Arabidopsis thaliana: one gene and its partners. The protein of the gene in region 3 interacts with the protein of the main gene of each other region in a pairwise test. Each region holds a gene or a part of one and is shown on either strand. Other genes may lie near its edges. The genes, in order: IAA15, EXO70H1 and HB32.

What was found.
Region 1: the proteins of HB32 (region 3) and IAA15 interact in a two-hybrid assay, tested with the Arabidopsis thaliana proteins (one large-scale study listed by BioGRID).
Region 2: the proteins of HB32 (region 3) and EXO70H1 interact in a two-hybrid assay, tested with the Arabidopsis thaliana proteins (one large-scale study listed by BioGRID).

The regions. Positions count from the first base shown.
Region 1 is NC_003070.9:30,220,994-30,224,668, forward strand, and holds IAA15 (indole-3-acetic acid inducible 15), read right to left. Parts: upstream 1,777-3,675; 5' UTR 1,710-1,776; coding exon 1,507-1,709; intron 1,415-1,506; coding exon 1,228-1,414; 3' UTR 1,027-1,227; intron 851-1,026; 3' UTR 636-850; downstream 1-635.
Region 2 is NC_003074.8:20,439,927-20,444,361, forward strand, and holds EXO70H1 (exocyst subunit exo70 family protein H1), read right to left. Parts: upstream 2,725-4,435; 5' UTR 2,640-2,724; coding exon 729-2,639; 3' UTR 565-728; downstream 1-564. Other genes in the region: AT3G55140 (Pectin lyase-like superfamily protein), read left to right, coding at 63-299.
Region 3 is NC_003070.9:5,045,817-5,049,255, reverse strand, and holds HB32 (homeobox protein 32), read right to left. Parts: upstream 1,475-3,439; 5' UTR 1,211-1,474; coding exon 704-1,210; 3' UTR 503-703; downstream 1-502. Other genes in the region: AT1G14686 (ENTH/ANTH/VHS superfamily protein), read left to right, coding at 2,456-3,439. UniProt on the Arabidopsis thaliana protein: Putative transcription factor.

The DNA of each region.
Region 1 (3,675 bases), about 25 Mb from region 3:
ATTTAAACTTTTAACACTTGTTTTTTTTTTTAACAAATGTTTTTAAAATTCTATTTTTACATTACTACTAAAACTATAAGTTTATTTTTGGATAAATGTTAAAATTTTAAATTTTCAAATGGCACTTCGTTTATTGATAATAGATGTTTCCGCCATGTAATCAATAACAATAAGATATATACAGAGTGCTAGAGAAAAATGTTACAAGAAAGAAATCCGCTTTTATATTACGATCTCTAGGATAATTTAATGTCAATCTCAAGTATTCAATTCCATTTTTAGTTCTTCGTTTATTGATATTCCTGCATGTAATCAATAACAGTAAGGTCTACGAGTGCTAGAGAAAAATGTTACAAGACCTAGCATTCTTACAAAAAAAAAAATCCGCTTTTATATTACGATCTCTAGGATCATTTAATGCACAAATTCGAATGCATAAAAATGAAACGTGTAATTTTTTTAAAAAAAACATATTAAAACTTTGAGCATCCCGTCTTGTCGAGTGTCGATGTCGTCATGCCCGGATCGTGGTGGTCGGCACTGATGCTTAAAAGTGGTTTGTAATTATTGAATTAAAAAAAAAAAAAGTAAAATCATTTAAACAATAGTAGTACATTACATACAAAATCCACGGCCAAAAAAGGTTTGAAATTACATATATAGCATATTGCAATTCAAAAATGCAATTGTATACATCTCTACAGTATTTAATGCATTTGTGATCATAATCTTATATAGCCTTTCGAAGATCCGATGCGTTTACGTTGTGGGAAGCAGAATAGAGACCTATAATCCAATAGCATCTCCGGTTTTCATTAACCTCATACGTTTGCAAGATTCCACAAACATCCTACACAAATTAAATATCATCAATCCCAAGAAAATTTAGTTTCCTTCACAGCAGAATAATACAGTAATTCTAGTTTTGATATGAATGTAAGTAACAAAATAGTACAGAAATTCTAGTTTTGAATAAAAAAGGAAAAGTACGTAAAAGCAACACAAAGGGTAATTCCGAGAACTCACATCCACGGCACATCTCCGACTAACATCAAGTCACCGTCCTTATCCTCGTAAGTAGCAACAAACTCTCCCTTCCTCTCCAACTCTGTCACTCTACCTACCACCATCCAAAACCCCAAGTGTAAGTAAATTTACCATAATATCCTTCACTTCGTCAGTCCATCCAAACACATCAAAATCTTTATTTTTTCCTACTTATCTCGATCACTTACATATTGTTATTATCCCCTGAAACATGTTTTCTAGAGCGGTGAAAAGCTGTCCATAGCAATCGTACATCCCAAGATCAACCTTTCTGAGATAGGCCGCACCATCCAACGCCACTTTCACGTATTTCCGCCTCACTGTTTTCCTCGCTGTCGCTACCGGCGGCCAGCCCACCAACTGGTCACTAAAACCACAATAAATTAAGAAGATCAATCAAACATGCATATGACCTATATGAACGATAAATGAAATTAATATAATATATATATGCCGTACTTAGTGACCATGCTTGAGATATAATTGTTCTCGTGTGCTTCCCCGAGTTTTAAATCAACGGTCTCGAGGAATCTACGTTTGTTCCCGAACTTTTTTGGACCTTCCGATGCATTTGTCGGAGTGCCAGGCAAAGCTAGGGTCAGCTCAGTTCCTCCAAGATCACCGGAATCCGGCCAAACCCTAACGTATTCCTCCGGTGACATTAATATCTTAATCTATTTATGAAAGTTAGTTAACAACAAAAGTGCGGAAAGTGATGAGACAATGTGGCACTAACTTTTGGCTTGAGTGTGTGAGACTCTCGAGGTTTCCAACTTTGTATTTATAGTCGATCTATACTTGTCAGCTAAAAAACTAGTGAACCCTACCTATAATGACACGTTTTCCTGTAACTGGCGGTTTTTATATCTCCACGAAAGCAAGTGAACAGTTTGGTGATTAGCTTCTACTTCGTGTGGTGTGGGCTCATTTATAGTTATAGCCACTTAGCATCTTCTAAACTGTCATTAGTGGATGTAATTGCATGTGTACGGATATCTTTTCAGTTTTAATTTCTATTAGCCTGGTATCAAAAGAAGAAGAAGAAGAAGAAATCACTGTCAACTAAAAAAGAAGAAAGAAGAAGAAGAAATCAGCCCTGATCTTTAAGCTCCCACGTCACGACTGATGGGTTCGATTAAGGAGAAAAATATATAATTTGATTATATTATCCACTAGCATTCACAAAACGAGAAAAATATATATTCTAAATACCATTATTTACTTTCTAAATAGAGTTGAAAATATCATTTTAATCGCATTCATGTTACCTTTGCTTATAATCGTTGGAAAATATAATAAACTTTATTCCCATATATATTTGTTTGTGTTTGTCAACTTCAGTCCAATAATTTAACATTAGACCAAAAAAAAAAAACTTCAGTCCAATATATTCTTCGGGAGAGATCTTCAATAGTGTTCCTTTTGTCTACACTTTGTTGTCGCTTTACTCCTTTAAATTATCATTCCAACTAACTTTTTCTTGGTAAAAAAGTTTCACCATTATATATGTACATCAACTTTCACTGTCGTCGGTCGAAAACAAATCATGGTCTAACAATATATTCCTAATTATCTATCATCGTACACTACACACTAATTAGGTACAATACTTCTTCATTAGTTTAATCTTTCACCGAATATCAGAAGAAATCCCAACTAATATGCGTGTGGATCTTGTAAACAATGAAAAGAATGTTCCCACCAAAAAAACAATGTGAACAGAACTAAATGTTGAAACTTCTACTTCAAAATTGAAATAAAATCTAAAATAAAATATATAATGAACATCAATCATTGTATAAAAGCGATTAAAAGTTTCATGATTTGGGATAAAAAAAGTTAGAGATAGATAACTATCCCTTTTTTAGTGAACAAGTATAAAGTTTTTACTGAAAAGTTTTTCAGTGTCCGGTATTAATTTCATATTAGTCATATTATTTACATGCAATATGAAATGAGATGTCAAAAAAGTTTAGACAAAGGAAAAGAGCAGAACATTAATTACAGCAGCGTAGGGTCACATGCGTAAGTCACGTGACTCTGTTTTTCGTTGGGGAACATAGAATCATAAATGATTTTTTCGATGGTTCACGACACTATTCTTAGACCAATAAGGGCAATAAGAGTTAAACCAGGGGCTAATAGGTCCTACTGGCGACACATAGACGAATTTACCGGTTTCGATTACAAACCCGTGACCGGTAATTCCGGTCAGCCATTGTTTTCTAAGTTTGTTTTCTTTCGTTATAATGCGCATGGAATGAAACAGTCGTATAATTCATTTAACTCGACTCGTAACAAAATATGTGAGATAATAATAAGAAGTACATAAATTTGGTAGCTAGTATTTAATGTTAATTGATACTTTTTGTCTCAAATAATCGAAACTGCTTTTAGGCTCTAGAAAACTGATATTGATGTCTTGGACATTTACTTGGGTATAATAAATTGCGATAACATAATAGAGCGGTCCGAGACTTAGAGAATTACGAAACCAGTAAATTCTATACAGATTGTTTATCCAATTAAGCCCAAACCAATCCAGGTTTCCTACAGTGGGTCAAGAATACATCATGGCAGATTTGATACATCATAATGCCATTATGGTATCAAGCCCAAAATAAGCCC
Region 2 (4,435 bases), on a different chromosome or scaffold from region 3:
CAGAGAAAATCTTGTTCTTATTTTGAATCCACCACCATCATCTTGTGTGAGTTTGTTTGTAGGCTGCTGACAAGGAAGAAGCGAGAACTGGGTTAGTACGATCTGAAAATGACTTGTTCTTGAATGGAGCTCAACCTTCCTTGATGACAGGAGCCAGTGAAGAATGTGTATTCCATCCAAGTGAACACTACCCAACATGGACTGTGGAGCCACCATCAGAAACTCTCAAGCAAATCATGCAAATTTGTACCGGTTGGCAATCTTTGTCCCGTCCTTCTGATCATGGAGTTCCTAAGTAATAGTTGCGATTCAAATGTTTTCTTGCATATCATATTTCCTTCTTTTTCTAGTTATTGAAGGAGTGAATAATGCTTTTGTTCTTCAGCACATTATGTTTACAGTATGCTGTGTGTGATTTTTTATGCCTTTTTCTTCTTTGTGATTTGTAATTGGCTTCTTGAATGTATATCACTGAATCGAATTCTTTATCAGATTTATATCAGCTTCGGTTATTAGAGACTACTCGTTTTATTCTTAAAGCGTATCGCAAGTTTGTTTTTTCTTAGATAATGAAGAACTCGTCATAAATTATGTAAAGAAAATCTCATTTTTTTTTTTTTGTTCTCATTTTCTGTTGCACACACAATGCAAACACACGTATCTACATTTTTTTCACTTCACATCATGTAAAAAATGGAATATTTAGCCAAAACTATGGATCAAGTCTCTCAGCCTGAAACACACCCAAGTGATTTCCAGGATGAAGAGGAAGAAGATGAAGAAAAAGAAGAGGATGCATGAATTGGTGTACCGTGGAAAAGATCAGAGATGTAATTCTCCAAATTATCTGGCTTGAATCTCACCAAGATCTCAATGTTTCTCTCCTGGCCGAGCATTGGTAAGTACTTCCTGTAAAACTCTCTGTATTCTGGTACAAGTTTCTTTGCTATTGAAACCTTTAGTTCGTCCCTAAGTTTCGCATTTGGTACAACTCGTGATGATTGTTTCATATATGCTTCCTCAAATGCCGTGTGAAATCTTCTGAAATATATTTTAGCTTCCTCTGGTGATAGGTCTGTGGGTTCTTCTGGTAAAGACATGAAAACATTGGACCATGCTGCTATCTCATAATTCCCAGCATAAGCGCAGAGTTTATCTTCGTGCTTATTGAGCCAATCATCTCCAAGGAGATTCCTTAGGGGAGTTGAACCAACCGTTTCAATGATGATCTGAAGGTTGTTTGCAAGGAAAAGGTAAGACAAAGAAACATCCTTGTAATGCTCTGCTTTGGTGTCTAGTTTGCATAGCAAAACCAGGATTAGCCAAGCAAAATGGACAGAGAGTGCGTGATTGTGTTGTTCATCTTCCGAAATTGGAGCTCTGACATAGGATTCCAGCAGGCGAGTGTTTCTCGGGAGTGGATGGTCTGCTAGGATTTCCGACAAGACTCCGCTGTACTTAGAAAGGGAAGAGATGAAGTTCATTGTTGATCGTGTCAGTTTATGAATCCCTCCTCCAGGTGTTAGAGCTTTCGTCGTATCTTTCTGAATGATTGATTCAAAATCCGTGAGAGCACTGTGGATTGAGACCTTTAGTTTTTGCAGCGATGTGAGCGCCTGAGATTTCACACCAGCTACTGCATCAAAGTGGAATATCATCTCTATGTCTTGCCAGAGATCAGAGATTGCAGCCTGCAGATCCATTAGCGGGAAGATCCTCTCGTGCGATTTCTTCTCCTTGGCAACAAATTCAGGGAACTTGAAAAGGTTAGTGGCTGCTTCGTTTGCAATCTCGTAGAAGCATGACTCCCTTGTTGAATTGGAAGCAGAAAAGACATGATCACAAAGAAGTTTCTCTCCACGGAAGAGCGTGGCAATGCCAATCTTTGCAGCTTTTATCCAGTTCTTGATCATATGCTCGAGCGTGACCCAGTCCGTTCTGTGAAATCTGGAGCCTTTGTAGATTTCAATCCCGAGCAAGCTCAGCCCTTCATCTACAATAGATTTTCTGACCCGCTTATAAATCTTTACGCACTCCTTACCATATCCGCAACTTATCATACTCTCTGCTATCGCCTTAAGGTCAGACATCACCATAGCTGAAGCTTTCTCAACCTGAGTGATCGATTCGCCAGCTTTCCTCATCTCATTGTCACTTTCATCGTCGTCGTCAGATCCCATAACATCTTCAAATTCAGAATTGCTGGAGATTGAGGATTGACCGGAAACTGATTCAGGATCAAGCTTGTCTCTGTTTGAAGATAATATCTGGAAGAACTCTTTTTCGAGCCTTGCCATGGCGATCTGCATCAGGGTCTGAGCTAGAGCAAGCTTTGGAGATTGAGAGTCTTGAGAGACAAGAAAGTGCATCGCTCTGCGCAAATCACGGACACATCTGATGAACTCTTTAGCCTCCTTCCTGCTATGGTTGAACAGAGAGACAATCTTGGTGAAGGAAGGCGTGTTCGGGTCCCATTTTCTGATGACGGAGTCCGCTGTCTCCACGGTTTCCTCCATCATAGCCTGAGTAAAGTTCTGGTTTAGAGGAGAAGCCGGGAAAGAAGTGAATGAAGAAGGCGAAGAAGGATGATATTTAGGAGATGACGAAGAGAAGAAAGAAAATTTCGCCATTTTCGCCATTGAAGAAGAAGAAGCTCTCTATTCTCTTCTTTCTGAATTGAAAGCGAAGCCTTTTAAAATGGTGTTACTTGGCTTTTACTCTTTCTATTTTAATTAGAAAGATGGTTTTTAACAATTATATAGAGAGCGAGATTGGTCTTGACTTTGAAAATGAAATCGATGACGATGTGCTTACCTGTGATTATAGACCCAGACCACAAAGAACCATTGACTTCGATGTATAATATAAGCCTTATATACTTAAAAGATAACTAGAGTACAAATTTTATATACATATGGGCGACAAAGTTTTTGCTATCCACGTCTAGAACTAGAATTATATGACTATTTCATTCTGTCAACTTATAATTTTATATAACAGTTAAATTCATCAATTTCATTTCATTTGACTTTTTATTGCATCATTCGCATTATTGATCACTAATTATACTTCTTGTTCGAATTTCGTATTGGAAGTTTTTTGACCAAAGAAAAAAAAGAAGACTAATAGAGTTTCACTAGAAAAGTCCGAAATTTATATATTTAGCGTTCTCTTATATAAACGCGTTTCTACATTTCAATTCTTGTGTGTCTGTCAACGTCTGCATTTCAGTTAATAAGTTATAGTTATCACAGTAATTAACGTTTTGAATCAATACTATGATACAATAAGTTGTTAACGCTGTCCTTGCAAACTAACAGCTATACGTTTATTGTAATAGTTAAGAGAAAAGTGTTACAAAATATTTAAGTTGATTTTACAGCCTAATGTTATATTAGCACTGTTGATGTGTCATAATCTGATAGTATATGTTTGTGCTTATAGAGGATAGAAAAACAAATCACAAATTATGTATTATATAAAACTAATATTCTTTCGTCTGACCAAAAAGATGATCATAAAAGATACGTACTATACTTCATGATCTTGTCTAGAAGAAAATAAAACCTATATTCCAAGTTTTCCCATACATTAGATATCATATACACAGACACAAGACATTCGCATGTTATGTATGTATGGTTTTGCAAGAAAAAGTCAAATATACGCACTCATAAATCATGATATAAAGATATACGAACCGGAGGTATTGGCAATTTCCAGGCGTTACAGATTCTTAAAAGACCAAAATGGAGATTCGCTTACCAAAGTCAACTACATTTACATATACATTTCAACTAATTTGGCTTCAACGTCGTATATACGTGAGTTGTCTAAATCATTATAAGAGCATATAAGCTAGTCAACGTTTTGTTTCGACGACTCTCTTTCTTTAAACAATGGCTAGTGTTACTTCACGTATTCGGTTACATTGCTAACGAACCTTAAAGAATTTAGTTATTGTAGCTGTCTTTTTTCCTTAAAAGTGGAATCTTCTTCAATCAACAAAGCAATGACTATTGATCAATGCCATCATTTGATTACAACTCACAGTTTTTGTTTTGACAATTATCTTGTTATATACATATGAGAGAAAATGAACTATAGTAGTGTTTAGTTCGTTTCAGATTGAGATTGATTATGTTTATGTTATTTGTTTTTTTCCCAAACTTTACTAAGGAAGATTGTAAGCTTGGGGGAGCCCTAACGAATCAGAAATGAATGATATCGTAAGTGCGAAAACAATTTGAAGACTGGACTGTGAAGCGGTCAACTCTCAGGCGTAGATCATCGGAGTAAAGACAATGCCAATGCAAAAGTCAAAAGTTTATAAAGTATCTTTGATAACCCCAAAAATGATAAGAACATAATAATCCAAGTGGGTATTTTTGACTTATTATTATATAGATACATTAAACTCTAATGTAGCTGGTTC
Region 3 (3,439 bases):
GAATGGGATGCTTGGTATAATGGTAGCAAAGTTACAATTTTATGAATCAATTAGTTCACAATTTTATTGGTATATACTTTTAAGTATATGGTTTTACGACTTTATAAAAAAGCAAAAAGTATAAAAATTATTTTTGAAATGACTATTTCTACAAAAAAAAGCATAACAGCTTTTATTGGCTTTGATGATGTCATTATAATTTTTAGTAACAAACCTCGAAAAAACACAATGTTGTGTTATTTCCGTAACTAATTGTCTTTTCATTACGTGAAATATATCTTACCATTAATTATTTACAAATTTTAGAATTAGATATGTAATCTTTACAATTTTCTATCAAAACAAAATGTCATTTTGCCATCCTTTCCCATAATAATTAGTACTACTATTCAACTACTTCAATATTATTACGTATAAATATTCTGATTGGCGAACAGTATTGACCATAAATAAAACGTCAGCTAGTTGTCTTGTCAAAACTCAAATCCCACCGACGTAAAAAGAAGAATCATAAAGACCAATTAAAGAGTGAACCAGTTAGTAATTAAGGACATGTCCAAATCAAACACATTAAACCCACTAATGATAAAATAATAATCCATTAAAATAAGCGATCAAGGAGGAGAAATTAACACAGAAGGGATGAAAATGAAATTGGAACTAAATTATAGTATTATCTCAATTAAGGATATTAGTTAATTAGTTAGTGATAAAACTTTTTATTATTGTTAACCCAAGTTTTAAAATGATAACGAGTAACACCAATCCCTTCACAGAAGACTCTTATCTCTTCTCTAAGCGCTCTCTTATCCTTCAACGTCCATCCCAACTTCGCCGCGTAATCTTTCATCGCCTCTCTCTGCTCCGCCGTGAACTTTGACTTCCTCCGCCTCTGCACCGTCATCTTCTCTTCCGTCGAAGTCTCCTCCGTGTCATCCTCCTCCTCCTCATTTCTTTCCTCAGCCGTTTTCCATTTCAGCCTCGCCAGCTGCTTCACGCGCCTTAAGCTCGTGAACGGGAAGCGCGTGTGATTGATTTGAGGAGAAGATATGACGTCTATACGACGGTGGTAGCTGCGGTGGCAACCACAGGCGACGCAGAGATCGCCGGTGGATGGTTGAGAGTATTCACGGCAGCCATCGATGGCGTAAGAGCCGAGCTTCGCGGCGTGGTTGCGCATGCATTCTCTGTAGACACAAGTACTCTGCATCTTCTTGGCTCTCTAATTAGAAGAGAGAGACTTTGTTTTTTTTTGAGTAATGATTTTTGCGTTTAGGGTTTGTTTTGGAAGAGTTTGGTTTTGGGTTACTTAAGTTATGATATGGTGTTTTTTTGTGTCAGAAAGAGTTGGGAGTTACAAAAAGAGCAAAAATTATTGTTACTTACTTGCTTTAAGATTTTGTACTTACGTGTTTATTAGTTGTCATAATAAATGTGAAAAACCCACTTTTTGAACTGTTTCACTGGCTTTGCTTTTCTACACATCCATAATTTCGTATCCTCTCAGCTCATAAAGTTGTCATCTCTACCCATAGTTAACTCTTTCAATCCATTGGGTTAAGTGTAGTAGCAATAATGAGGAATAAGAAAACTAAACCACTTTTTGTAAAACTATAGCGGCTAATTAGTACTAGTAAACTAGTACTAATATATTAGTAATAAGTTTTTAATATAGGTATAAACAAATTTAATAAGTTTGGATTGTATAGAGGTCACATGTTTCTAAATAAGTAGAAGTATTTTGATTTATAAAAGTAAGATTTAAGAAACTAATTTTGTAAAATTGAGAAATATCAATAATATATTGTAACTAAAATGAAACTATAATTAAGAAGCAAAGATCAAAAGTTTTCAAAGAATCTGATTTTATTGCAAAAAGAAGTCTGAAACGCTTTCTTTTAAGAGGTTTAGCAAAAAAGCAATTGTGTGACCCACGAGTTGACTATTCACTATCGTATATGTTCATTTGCCTACTTTATGTTTTGTGTGTAATTTAGCAAGCTAAACGATTATTTTACGGCTTAACGATATCAATCACACCATTAATAATTAAGATATGTATATTTCCATATTGTACAAACAAAGTCATAATTTGACTTGCTCAAACCACATACATTATATACGATTACAACACTACTACACTAGAAAATTGCCTCAAAACAAAATCAACGAAACATATAGAAAAGCCAACCAAACAACACTTATCTAATGAACTTATTACGTAATCAATCGAGTTAAACTGAAAAATGGAAGATAATAATTTAGTAACGACATCAAAAATATCTTTTTTTATTTTGGTCAAAACTGAGATTTCTTAATTTTAGCTTATCCTTATCTAATTCGTTTTAAACCAGCAAAGAATTGACATCAAAGAAAACAAAACACGGTTTAAAATGAAAATTATAAAGCGCGAAATAGAAACTAACAATTTGAAACCACACACATTAGTCGGAAGATGAAGCTTTGGAAACGCGCCGCCGTAGTTCTCAAAGACGGACCTAGTCTCATCGCGGCTGATGACATTCTCACAGCAGCCGTTGTGAAAGCTACAAGCCACGACGAGCTCTCCATTGATACAGAGAGCGCTCAATTCATCTACCGTCACGTTCTCTCTAGCCCGTCAAGCCTCAAGCCTCTCGTAAGCTTAATCTCGTCTCGCGTGAAACGCACGCGAAGCTGGGCGGTTGCTTTAAAAGGCTTAATGCTAATGCACGGCTTCTTCCTCTGTAAATCAACCGTAGCAGAATCGATCGGACGGTTACCTTTCGATCTTTCGAGTTTCGGCGAAGGTAATTCACGGATTATGAGCAAATCCGGTGGGTTTAATCTCTTCGTACGTGCTTATTTCGCGTTTCTTGATCGAAGATCGATTCTGTTTCACGATGGGAATCGTCATCGATACAACGAAGAATCATCGGTTCTGATTCGACTTGTGATTATTCGTAAGATGCAGATTATTGTTGATTCTTTGATTAGAATCAAACCGATTGGTGAAAACATGATGATACCTGTGATTAATGAAGCTATGGAGAATGTGGTTAGTGAGATTATGGAGATTTACGGTTGGATTTGTCGTCGTATTGCTGAAGTTTTACCTAACGTGCACTCCAAGATAGGTAAAACAGAGGCAGACTTGGCGTTGAAGATTGTTGCTAAATCCATGAAGCAAGGAGGAGAGCTAAAAAAGTATTTTGAGTTTTGTAAAGACTTGGGAGTTTCTAATGCTCAAGAGATTCCTAATTTCGTAAGGATTCCTGAAGCGGATGTGATTCATCTCGATGAACTCGTAAGGACGGCGATGGAGTCGTCTGAGGAAAGTGCGGAGAGAACAGAGATTGCTGAGGAAGAAGAAGAAGAAGAGGAAGAGATAGAGACGAAGCTTTCTGATTTGATAACACTTGATCATAATGAGGAAGCTCCTGCCTCTCCTCCGAGAGTT